2 linked regions of the Xenopus tropicalis genome follow. The protein of the gene in region 1 binds, or shares a complex with, the protein of each later gene. Links are inferred from orthologs where the notes say so. Each region holds a gene or a part of one and is shown on either strand. Other genes may lie near its edges.

Region 1 (6,024 bases):
ACAAGGGACTGTGGGAAGGTGATACCCTTATCTGGGTTAGAAGACAGTTCGGAGCCAGACCATTTGGGCAGTGAAGTTGGGGCAATTGGTTTCTTTGATCTATTGATCAAAGAAAGTGAATTGTGGACATAAGAAATGCTGGGGGAACAGCTAAGAGAAAATATGGATTATAAAAAGGGATCCATATCTCCTTTGCTTTAGGGTTCACATCCTCATAAATCACATATTGGTTATAAGGTCACATGCTTTCTAAAAATACCAAACAAGGCCAGCCAATACCCACCAGTTAGGGGGGATAGTTTTCATGTTTGGTATCCTTCTGATCACCCACATATGGGTTAAAGCAAGCCCATATTTTCATAATAATATTGGATACTGTCAAGTGCCAATATTATATGACAAGAAACTGGCCTGAGAATTGCAGTCCTCTACAGGAGGTCATAAGTGATAAGTTCCTGGGCACTCCCCCCTCATGCATGCGGTAATGAGGAAGGGTCCAAGCAGGGGATAAAAGGGCAAAAGACCCAGTTACTAACAGCTCATACCTGAGGTCCCAATTCTGTTGGGGTGTGGGCTCAGGTTTCCAAACTCTTGCCTCAGGAGGACACAAAGGAAATTCCTAACTTGGTAAAGTAAATAGGGTTTCTGTGTTTTATTCCCTTTTATTTTATTTACTGTTTGCAATTTTACGTGTATGTCTCTTTTTGTAATATCTTTTAATATGTACTGTTTACTCTTGTAATATTAAATATAAAATTTAATAAGTTTTGTCCGGTTGCTCTAAAAAGATTTCACGTAGCTTGTATGAACGCTTGGGGCTAACTGTATTAACAGCTTGTCTGTGTGTAGAAGGAAAGTTGTCTGTGTATAGGCTAATTAACTAGTTGACTGCTAGCAGGAGAGTATGTTTGACTGTAATTTAACCTTTTGGCTGCTAGAGTGCTTGTTGAATTAGTAGACACTAACCCTAACTACAGTGAGAGTGTGTGATACAGTTGTGTATTGGGAAATAGTACCTGTTGTAGAGAGCACTGAATATTTATTTGGGGCGGTGGTGTGTTTGGGGGTGTCTGATGTTAGTCTAACCTTAGGTAACCTTACTGAGTGTAACCCCGTTTCCTCATCCCAGTGTCACGTGCGTCTAAGAGTGGCGTGATCGTGACAATGTCCTTATCATTTGTGAAGATTCATGTATACCAAAGGTTTCAACAATTGTGCAGCTGGCCCTTCTGGGGTGGCTTGAGGCAGTGGTGGGCAGACCCTGAAGGCCAATTAAGATGAGGCATGGGGTGAACGTTTATTTTGCCGATTCAAGGTAACAACGTATTTGCTGTCTAAGATATTATCGGGGCTATGCAGAGAAAAAGGTTGAACCTCCAACTCGGGCTTAAACTGAAAAAGTCTGACAACCTCTATTATACGGACTAGCAGGTAAAAATGTGGCTTTGAGCCATTGTTATATAGGAAAGCCTGTATGTTTTTCCATAAACGGTAGCAACCCTAATTAAAGCTGTGTCTCTCAGCTCCACAGGAGATAGAATTATGATCTCAAACGCAGTCCTGGTTAAGGAAATGATCACTCCTTAACACTCACTGCTGCATCATCGTAGTACTAGCAAGGCTCAGACGACTGCAATTGCAAACTCATTCCTCCAAACTAAGGAATATTATAAGGCTAAAATAATATTGTATTACACAACTTAAACAATGATGTTATTAATCAGATTACCAAGCCGAAAACAAACACTAATTGAATCAAAACCAAACAACCACAAGATTTCACGATAGTTCAGACTACAGCAGAATACATGACACTATGAAAACGAGGCTTGAGACGCGGTAGTGGGCAGGACCGCAGCAACGCGGGAGATTCATTCAATTTGTGGTGCTGCAGCCATTTTCGCTAGCTGGTTCCCTTTGCAGATTGGTAGAAGAGGATATCATTCATAATGTGGGAACCCTACATGCCAGTTGAGCCCGGCTTGGGCAGGGAGGAGAATTTCCTTTCCATAGAAGATTTGTTAATGTCACAGGAAAAATTACCTTGCCGTGTAGAGAGCGGCTTCCCTCGGCTCGGCTTCCTAGAGAAAGGTGGTGACAGCGACAGCATCCCTGAGGTGACTTTGGGTGATGCAATAATAAATGTAGCTTTTCTGGGTGGTCATGGATTCATATGGGCAATCCATCATTGTGCTCCTGCAAATTTACCTTTCATTCCATTGGATTAACACTGGGCGTTTTAATGTGTTGCCTTTGAAAATGAGTTTACTTTAGCAGTTCTATTATAGTCAAGTTCTGTGTAGCCACAACAGCATTAATGAGCTTGGGCACTGATGCTGGGCAAACAGGCATGGCTTACAGCAGTGATCCCCAGCCAGAGGCTCATGAGCAACATGTCACTCGCCAACCCCTTGGATGTTGCTCCCAGTGGCCTTAAGCAGGTGCTTTTTTTAAATTGGAAGCAAGATTTGGTTGCACAAAAACCAGGTTTACTGCCAGAAGAGTCTCCTGTAGGCTACCAATCTACATTGGGGCTACCAAATAGCCAATCACAGCTCTTATTCGGTACCCCAGGGATGCTCCCCAGCTGTTACTACATTTGACTGTGGCTCATGGGTAAAAACAGGTTGGGGAGCCCCGGGTTACAGACTGTCCTGCAGTTAACCTCAGGTGTTCAGTTGGGTTAGGACTCTATGTAGGCCAATAAAGTTCATTCTCACATTTCGGCAAACTAAGTACAGATGCTGTGTGCCTGGGGGGAATTATTGTGCTAAAGCGGAGACAAGAGACCGTGCTTCCAGAAAAACACAAGAACTGAGAAGTGAGTGTTCCAACTGAGTGCATGCAGTTTTAGAATGGTTTACCTTGGGCCATGGGTTGAAATCCTCCTGTACGTTCTGTGACAGGCAGGTGGCATGGACAAGTGTTTCTCCACTGACTGGGTAAACTGGTTTGCCATCAGTCTTAGTGCTGTTGGTACATGGTGCACTTTTTGTCTGGCTAAAAATAACTTCAAATTATTGCCTCCCGTAGACATGACAGTGTCAGTAAAGGTACTCTGTAGCCAAAAAATGCTCTAAATAGTGTTTCTTGGCTTAAGAACTATTGGACATTTGGGTAATTTCTAATTGGTCTGGGGCACCCAGTACAAGAAGCCAGAAGGGGTTATGATGTAGTAAAGGTACAATTACTGGGAGTTGCCAAAATACTAGGCACCCCCAGTGACTGTAATCACTATCTGATACCCCAGGCCAGTAATCCTGTAAGCAGAACTGGGCCAGGGTAACTGCGAGCGATCCTCTTCCTCCTGTCTTCTTTCTTCTCGATCCTGGGACCAATACATGTGCAGTACAGTGAAAAAGCAACATTTTTTTGTTAAAGTTTAGCTTTTCACTCTACTGCATAAGTGCAAGCTGTGCAAAGAAAGAACGAAAAGGATAGCTTGCACCCAGTTAATGTATGCTTATTTTTCCCCTTAGGGGCACTGGCACACAAGGTTTGTTGCCTGTGGGGAATCTGTGCTACATACAAATGACAAATCTGCTGAAATTACCTTTCCCTTCACTTGAAATAGTTTATATGCGGTGATACAGCTTTTTTTTATGCCTGAACTTTTCAAGTGATTTACATGCCATGATCCCCACATTGTTACCCACGGGTAACAAAACTCCTTGTTTGCCATTTCCGTAATGGACAGGGAAAAATGTCAAAGAAAATGTAATTGAAAGCAACATATCATTATACGTTAATTAAAAATGTTGTTGTTTTATAAATGAGAACAGATTGGTCCAGCACAGTTGTGCATAACAGGCTGTACATAGACCAGAAGGATATGAGGAAAAGTCTGTTAAATAGTATATTTAGATTTGACATTGGTGTAAAAAATTGTCATTTACAAGTGAATCACATTCAAGAACATCATTAGAATATTTGATCTGAAGTAATGAAGTAATGGAAACATTTTGGTACTAGTAAAGTATTGCAAATGGCACCTCTATCTATCTAATTATCTTTATGTGTATATGTATGTATATATATATATATATATATTATAAAAATGCAACTCATCCCATGAATCAATCAAAACCAATTGGGGGCACATAGGTGAGTGGCTTGGCTTATATTATATACTATATACATTACTCCAGCACTCCATTATATAGCTTCAAGAGAAAATTAAAAACTAAACCAAAGCTATATAATGGAGTGCCTGGGTAATGTGTATAGTATATAATACAAGCCACTCACCTGTGTGCACCCAATTAGTTTGGATTGATTCATGGGATGAGCTGTATTTTTTTGTATATATTTGTGTGGTAAGGGGAAGTGGCTATTCCCTAATTGAATGCTTGCTCTCCCAACCTCGCCCCTTTAAGGATAGCCTTGCAGTTTTTTTTTTTTTTGCAAGAAGGTGTTTATAAGCTTAATTGCGGAATGGTTTCTTTGGAATAGGTCATGCCATATAAAGAGAAAAGCAGGTATGGTCTTTCTTCCACCAAAGAAAATATACTCTCTTTTTCGCTAGGTTAGGACTGACGCAAGGACACTGCCTTGACGGGCGCGTCAGCTTATGCATACTTTGTACAAACCGTGTAATGCAACGTGTCTCTTTTCACTAAAATGCAGACATTTTTCCTTCAGTGTGTGCAAAATTGGTTTTTAATTTTCTCTTGAAGCTTGAAGTGTGTACCCTACCATGTAATTGCCTTATTCAGTACTACATAATGAAATATTAAGCCTCCCTTGCTTAAAATACCAGTTTTCATCTTTTGTATCCAAGCAGGTGTTATACATAATGACCACTGAACTTAATTACTGTAATAATTCCTTTTTTGTTAGGGTAGCAAAATGGAACTTCCATTATGGCTGGCGAAAGGTCTTTATGACAACAAACGGCGTGTACTTTCGGTAGAGCTACCAAAGATTTACCGAGAAGGCTGGCGAACTGTTTTCAGTGCTGATGCCAATGTCGTGGACCTGCACAAGATGGGACCTCATTATTATGGCTTTGGCTCCCAACTTCTCAACTTTGACAGTCCAGAAAACCCAGAAATTGCAAAGACAATATTGCAGGTAATTATTGCATTGTGGTAATTATTTCAAGTTTATGTTAAAATTTAGCTGCAGCATGAAAATATTTTCTTCCTTAGGTAGCACAGTACTATTCAAAGCAACATGAAAGTGCCCTTCAGTGCAAAGCCGTTCAATTCAGGACCCAGACTTTAGGAGTTTTGACTTCCTGGAAATTCACATCATTAATAAAGTTATTAAAAAATTCACACTATTTAAATAAAGACCTTTAAAGAAGTCGGAGCATGGGTCTAGCTAGAATGAATATAGTTACTTAGCACTTATATTTGCCTATTAGCACTTATATTTGCCTATTTGTGTCTGTTAGTTACCCCTCCCATATAGATTGTAAGCTCTACGGGGCAGGGACCTCCTTCCTCTTGTGTCCTCGACTCTTACCTTATTGCTGCTGTATTTATCTGTATTTATTATTATACTTTGTATTTATCTATTATCTTATTAACACCCTGTTTGTATTAATGTATTCTACTGTACAGCGCTGCGTACATAAGTAGCGCTTTATAAATAAAGATATACATACATACATACATACATTAGATGGGTAAAGGTTAGGTAAGAGGTAAGAGTTTATCTATGAGTTTTGCTTGGTCCTTGTGCTTTTCTCTCCAATTTCCTGTTCATTTTGTGGCTGGATATTTCCTGTGGAAACTACTTGCCACTGATAACTGAATGATAAATGCTATTGTCAGTAAGAGGTGTTGTATAGATGGTTTGAACCTGTAGCTTTAAAGGAAATGTAAACTGTTCTAGAATAAGGAATGATTTTTACATTGCTGGCTTGTCCATACAAAGACAGCTATCAAGTTGGCTGTAAGTATATTGCTTTATTCACTCAGTTTCCATTCCTTTCCAGACATTTGTTGGACGTTTCCGTCGCATTATGGACTCCTCTCAAAATGCTTATAATGAAGATACCTCAGGGCTAGTGGCACG
Region 2 (6,007 bases), about 40 Mb from region 1:
GATTTTTTTTTTTTTAGATTTAATTTAGAAATTTTGCATGGGGCAAGTCATGTTTTTCCATTTTCCAGGGTGCCACAGCCATGCGACTTGTGCTTTGATAAACTTCAGTCACACTTTACTGCTGTGCTGCAAGTTGGAGCGATATCACCACCTCCTTTCCCCCAGCAGCCGATCAGCAGAACAATGACAAAATAGCAGCTTCCTGTCACCTGCGTTGCTAAAAGTTGTAGATATCAGAATAGCAGCCAATAGTAAAAAATCCAAGTCTGGCTTGGGACTCCTCCCGTTACATGGGAGGAGGAGACACGATTGGTTATCTGAAAGCAGTTCTAATGTGTAGCACTGGCTCCTTCTGAAGGCTCAGACTCAGGGGTATATTTATCAATGAGCGAAGTTAGAGCTTGCCACAGTCCACTATACCGAAATTACGTGTAGCCCACTTTATGCACGGTTGTGGCACTACCCGTTGGAGCACGATACTTTGGCGCTACAGGAGTCCTGAGCCCCCGCTTACTATGGGGGTTTACAAGGGATTCTCCCCTAAATGGCGTGCCTCCACCCAGGGATGGTCTTGTGGAACTATATTCCACCCCCTGGGAAACGATCAGGATACAATGCCCCTTTGGGACCCACGTACTCCCGGTGTGATGTACTCACTCTTTGAGTTATTCCTTACCGGCGTAGTAGTGGTCCTCTGGGCTAGGTAGATACTCACAGCAGACACAGTTGTATATGAAAGGAATGCTATGGTTTATTCAGGCAGAGACCTCTCCAGGAGCGGCATATCATTTATACACACGGCAGGGCATATCTCCTTACTTCTCATTGAGATCCTTTTCCTGTTGGTACTACCTCACGGGTTTCCCCAATGTGCTCCTATCTAGGTGCTATCCCCGGTACTATCTGTGAGACCCTCCCTTTGGAGTTCTCAGTACCCATGCTAGGAGTTACACCACAAGGACCCACACCGGTACTAGCGTATGGCACCCTCAGATCCGGACTCCTGGACTAGCGGGGACTTGTCCACCTACCTAGCCACTTAATGCCCTGCACTCCAGCAGATGTAATGCTGGGGGGTCTTAACCCCACTACCACTCCTGGAGGGGCAATATCCGCCCATTCTAGCTTGGTGTCCTACATGACACTCCTAGAATGTCCTATTACAAGAAACTACTATCTAATAACTCTATCAGGGGAAGCTCCTGGTCCCAGGAGCTATCCCAGCCTAAAGTGGCTCAAGATGGCTGCTACCCTTTTTATGGGCCTATGCACCACCCGGTGGCCATAACCCGAACTACAGGTATACTCCCTGTTAACTATGTAGAACCCAGTCATCCCAGTGTCCCTGCTAACTAACACCAACCAGTGGCCTAGTCTAGGGGTGTCTGTCCTAAGGGCCCATTTTTGATAAACCCCTACATACGCTTCTATCCATTGATTTTTAAAAGCATATTTATCAATTAGTGAGTGTAAAAGTTCACCCTTTTAAAAAAATAATAGTAGAATTTCACTCTAGCAAGTTTCTCACTCTAATAAATCTACCCCTCAGGCACAATGCACTGACATAGCTGCCTACACAGAATAACATTTTCCTGGCCATCCCCTGGCAGCATAACATTTGGTAGAGGATAAACCCAAATGTTATGCTGCCAGGGAGGAAGGCCAGGAAAAGAAAATCTCGGTAAGTATGAATTGATTTTCTCCTTTAAATGGTAGAGCAAGTTAAGTAAACACTGAAATCTAGAAATAAACAGTTCACCATAAAAATCATAATATCCCTTTAAGTAAAATAGATAGAAATGTAGAATGAAATCACCATAACAAGACCAAGTAGAACTCGGTTCTAAAATACTGCCTCAGAGTATTGGACTCCTCTGAACACGCTAGTTTTTCTGTTCCTCAGCTACAACTTCCTCCATTTTGTTTCGGTAAAGTTTGGCGCCAGGCATTGCCCTCCCACCTATGAAAGGGAAAAAGCTGCCATTACTCCCAGCCACTCAGCAGGCTTCGAAATCTCTTACGTAAGGCGTGCACTGCTGGATTGGCCGTAGATACAGGAGAAGGGCGGTCCCTAGAAACGGTATCAACCAATAGGGAAATAGCTGAGGCGGAACAGATCGTCGCTGTTACAGAGGTTTGGCGCGAAAAAAAGATTTCGCGCGTTCTTGTGAAATAGGTGCATTGGCGGCCGCAGCTCTCGCCTTTTGTGCTTGGTACCCTTTTCTTCGTTACAATGTCGGGATTTGACGATCTTGGAATCTACTACAGCGATAGTTTTGGCGGAGAGCAGCCGGTGGGTGACGACGGACAAGCCAAGAAATCACAACTTAAGAAGCGGTTCAGAGAGTTCCTCAGGCAGTACCGTGTAGGGACCGATCGCACCGGCTTCACCTTCAAATACAGGTCTGGGACACTTTGTTGTAACGATTTACAAGTTTGATTTTGTTAGGTGTAATCCTAAACGAAGGGATCTGATTAATTCAGAGGTTACTAATGGGCTTGAGCATGACCCGAACATATATACGAGCGCATGTGTCATTAAGTGCCATGTAAAGGGGACTTTTACATTGTATATTCATCTACATACATGTGAAATGTCATACCCATCACTTGTGTCAGTGCTGTTCTGTAATTACTTCCGATCCACTACTGTCCTTCCATCCTAGACATAGATCCATGGTTACATTAATGGTACAGAGATACCCATAATGCACAGTGGCTGTGATAAGAGGAGGTGTTAAAAAAAATCAGATGGCAAAGCATGTAAAACTGAGTTAAAACACAGCTAACTGGAGCTCTGTATTCATATCTGAAAACTTTTTCCCAAGTCTGTTATAGGAAAGCCATAAAAAATGGTAGAGAATTTTCAATAAGTTTATTTTGTCAATTTATTTTTTGGACTAAATATCACAAAGAACTAGGATTTTTGTCTTTATATTCCTCTTTAAGGTGTTGCAGGTGCTTAAGTCAATGTCAAAATCGGGACTGACCATAGTTTTACAGATTTGTAGTTTACAACCCTCAGTATCTGTGACAGGGCCAAATAACATACATTCAACAACATATTTTATTTACAGAGATGAACTCAAGCGTCACTATAATCTGGGAGAATACTGGATAGAGGTGGAAATGGAGGACCTGGCCAGCTTTGATGAGGACCTTGCAGATTATTTGTACAAACAGCCAACTGAACATCTGCAGCTGGTAAGTAGCTTTTAGTACCAATGTGTTCAGTCTGCCAGTTATTTGCCAGTACTGTGAGTATTAAGGTCTTTACATCTGGGATGTAGAGTATATGTATAATATAGCAAGATATGTCACAGTCAGTGTGTGATTTTATATATTTTTATGATTTTACTCATTGTTTAACTCAATTTACAGCTGGAAGAGGCAGCCCAGGAAGTTGCAGATGAGGTGACTCGCCCACGACCTGCAGGTGAAGAAACTATACAGGAAATCCAAGTTATGTTGCGGTCTGATGCCAACCCTGCTAATATTCGAAGCCTGAAGGTGAGAAATTCTATGGTTGATGGTCTCTTGAAATTTGCATTGTCACATGGCTACGTAAACATATAATTACAATACCTGTGTTTTTTTTGTTTTTTTTTATAAATGACATTTGTTAATATTTTCATTTCAAAGTGGTGGTAATGTCAGATTTTCATCAAAGTATGCTTAAATATCTAGACTTAAATATTATGCCCTGCTTAGTCAGTGGTGCAGCTTGTTCCACTGAAGTCACAACATACTGCCATTAATATTACTTAGGGTTATTTAATCCCTGTGCCACTTTATTAACCATTGCATATTCTCACCCAATGTTATATTGCAGTCCGAGCAAATGTCTCATCTTGTCAAAATTCCCGGCATTATCATTGCTGCCACCGCTGTGAGAGCCAAGGCTACGAAGATCTCAATCCAGTGTCGTAGCTGCCGAAACACAATTGGCAACATAGCTGTGCGTCCTGGTCTAGAGGGATATGCTATGCCACGTAAATGCAACACGTATGTGTAATTGAAGTTCTGTGGAACATGAATGTCTTTTGATGTTACTTGGACCCTTGTGATTGTGTAATATAAAGTTTTCTTCCAATGGAAGCAACTTGTCAAACTTCTTAAGCCTTTTTATACTTCGTACTATTCTTAGTGAAGTGGAGTGTATTTCCATTATCTGTTAACAGTTGATATGGGGGGAAGGTCTAGGAGCCATAGTTCACCACTGGATGGAATTGGCTGTTAGCTGTGGTAAAATTGATTAGTCAGCACAACATTTACCTTTTAGATTCTTTTAACTTTTGCTGTTACTCTTCACAGGGAACAGGCTGGCCGTCCAAAGTGCCCATTGGACCCATACTTTATTATACCTGACAAGTGCAAATGTGTAGATTTTCAAACTCTGAAGCTTCAGGAGTCTCCAGATGCTGTACCTCATGGAGAGCTTCCAAGACACATGCAGTTGTATTGTGACAGGTATGTTTAAAATTAAATATATTTGTAATGAAACAGATATTGCTAGATTAGAGAAATGCAGTATGTTCTATGTATAGGTTTGCAAATAATTGGTCCTTTTCATCTATATTTCTTTTGGGATGTAGACAGAGGCTTTTTTTCTGATCACTGTCAATTTGATGCTTAGCTGCAGAGTTAATGTTGCTACAGGAGACTCTTCCATACAGTGTCTTGTGGTTAAGACATTTAAAGTGCACTGTAACCTCGGCTTAAATTAACCCCATTTAAAATGCATTTATTTTCGAGTCTGCCTTTTTATATCTAATGCTATTAGCTTTGGTGTAAATTATTGTGATACCACATTAAACATTTAAATTTCCTAATGTCTATTTAAGGTACTTGTGTGATAAGGTTGTTCCTGGAAACAGAGTGACAATCATGGGTATTTACTCAATCCGGAAGAGTGGAAAGACCTCAACAAAGGGCCGGGATCGAGTGGGAGTTGGGATCCGCAGTTCCTATATAAGGGTAGTGGGCATCCAAGTGGATACAGAAGGAACAGGTGAGAGGTGGCAATATGCAAAAGTGCAGCTATGTTTAAAGGGACAGTAACACATTCCAGTTGAACTTTCCATTCCATTCCAGTTGAACACAATTCCTATATAATCCCGAGTGTTAATAATATTTTCTAAAGGGGGTGCCCACTGCCTCCCCCAAGCACAACACATACACTTACTCAACACTTATAGCTGTCAGATGTGTGATATGCATTTATTGCTTACTCGTTGTTTAGGAAGAAGTGCAGCAGGTGCTATAACGCCACAAGAGGAAGAGGAGTTTAGGCGCCTATCTGCAAAGCCTGATATCTATGAGACTGTTGCTAAAAGTATTGCCCCCTCCATTTATGGCAGTAGTGACATCAAGAAAGCCATTGCTTGCCTGCTGTTTGGAGGCTCCCGCAAGAGGTAAAACTTCTGTCAACTGTAAACTAAAACAGTGATATCCCCTTATAGGCAAATGGCCCATAGCTATTTTAACCACCATGGTCCCCTCTGAGTAAGAACTGTGATAGTGAAACAAAAATTGACATGGTTTATAGCTGCTTTTTAGGTGCATGATGGAGAATTGTGCTGCTTTTGGCAGGTACTGAAGCTGTCAGGGATTACTTAAATGCAGAATTGTCCTTTAGACTGCAATGAGCTTGTGTACTGTAGATCAGGGTCTACTGTTGGCAGTCTTGCACATAGCTCTTGGCTTTCCCATTTTCCTTGAATTGTTTTGAACACAAGTAATAGTGTTAGGGCTCATACTCTCAAACATCTGTTCCTGCATTCCTCTGCATTGGATCCTTCCTGCTTTCCACCACAGGGAAATGCAGGAACAGATGCAGACCATTCTTCCCTATCATTTGCTCACACAGGCGCATGTAAGCACTGAACACAGGTGGAGCACAACATGTTGCTTGTCAGTAGGAGTCCTTAGTGCACCAAAAACTCAGTATGGCTATACAGTTTAGTACTTGCTTATACATGCAAAAACAGAAGGAACAGTGAGCATT

Evidence for each region. The genes of interacting proteins can lie anywhere in the genome.
Region 2: gins3 (region 1) and mcm5 share a complex: the UniProt entries of both Homo sapiens proteins name them as parts of the CMG helicase complex. The link is inferred for Xenopus tropicalis from reciprocal best matches to the Homo sapiens genes GINS3 and MCM5.

Annotation. Positions count from the first base shown.
Region 1 is NC_030680.2:75,817,482-75,823,505, forward strand, and holds the start of gins3 (DNA replication complex GINS protein PSF3), read left to right. Parts: upstream 1-1,945; 5' UTR 1,946-1,949; coding exon 1,950-2,117; intron 2,118-4,839; coding exon 4,840-5,073; intron 5,074-5,944; coding exon 5,945-6,024. UniProt on the Homo sapiens protein: Required for correct functioning of the GINS complex, a complex that plays an essential role in the initiation of DNA replication, and progression of DNA replication forks.
Region 2 is NC_030680.2:115,591,361-115,597,367, forward strand, and holds the start of mcm5 (DNA replication licensing factor mcm5), read left to right. Parts: upstream 1-2,218; 5' UTR 2,219-2,233; coding exon 2,234-2,403; intron 2,404-3,077; coding exon 3,078-3,204; intron 3,205-3,381; coding exon 3,382-3,510; intron 3,511-3,832; coding exon 3,833-4,005; intron 4,006-4,314; coding exon 4,315-4,470; intron 4,471-4,844; coding exon 4,845-5,011; intron 5,012-5,242; coding exon 5,243-5,414; intron 5,415-6,007. UniProt on the Homo sapiens protein: Acts as a component of the MCM2-7 complex (MCM complex) which is the replicative helicase essential for 'once per cell cycle' DNA replication initiation and elongation in eukaryotic cells.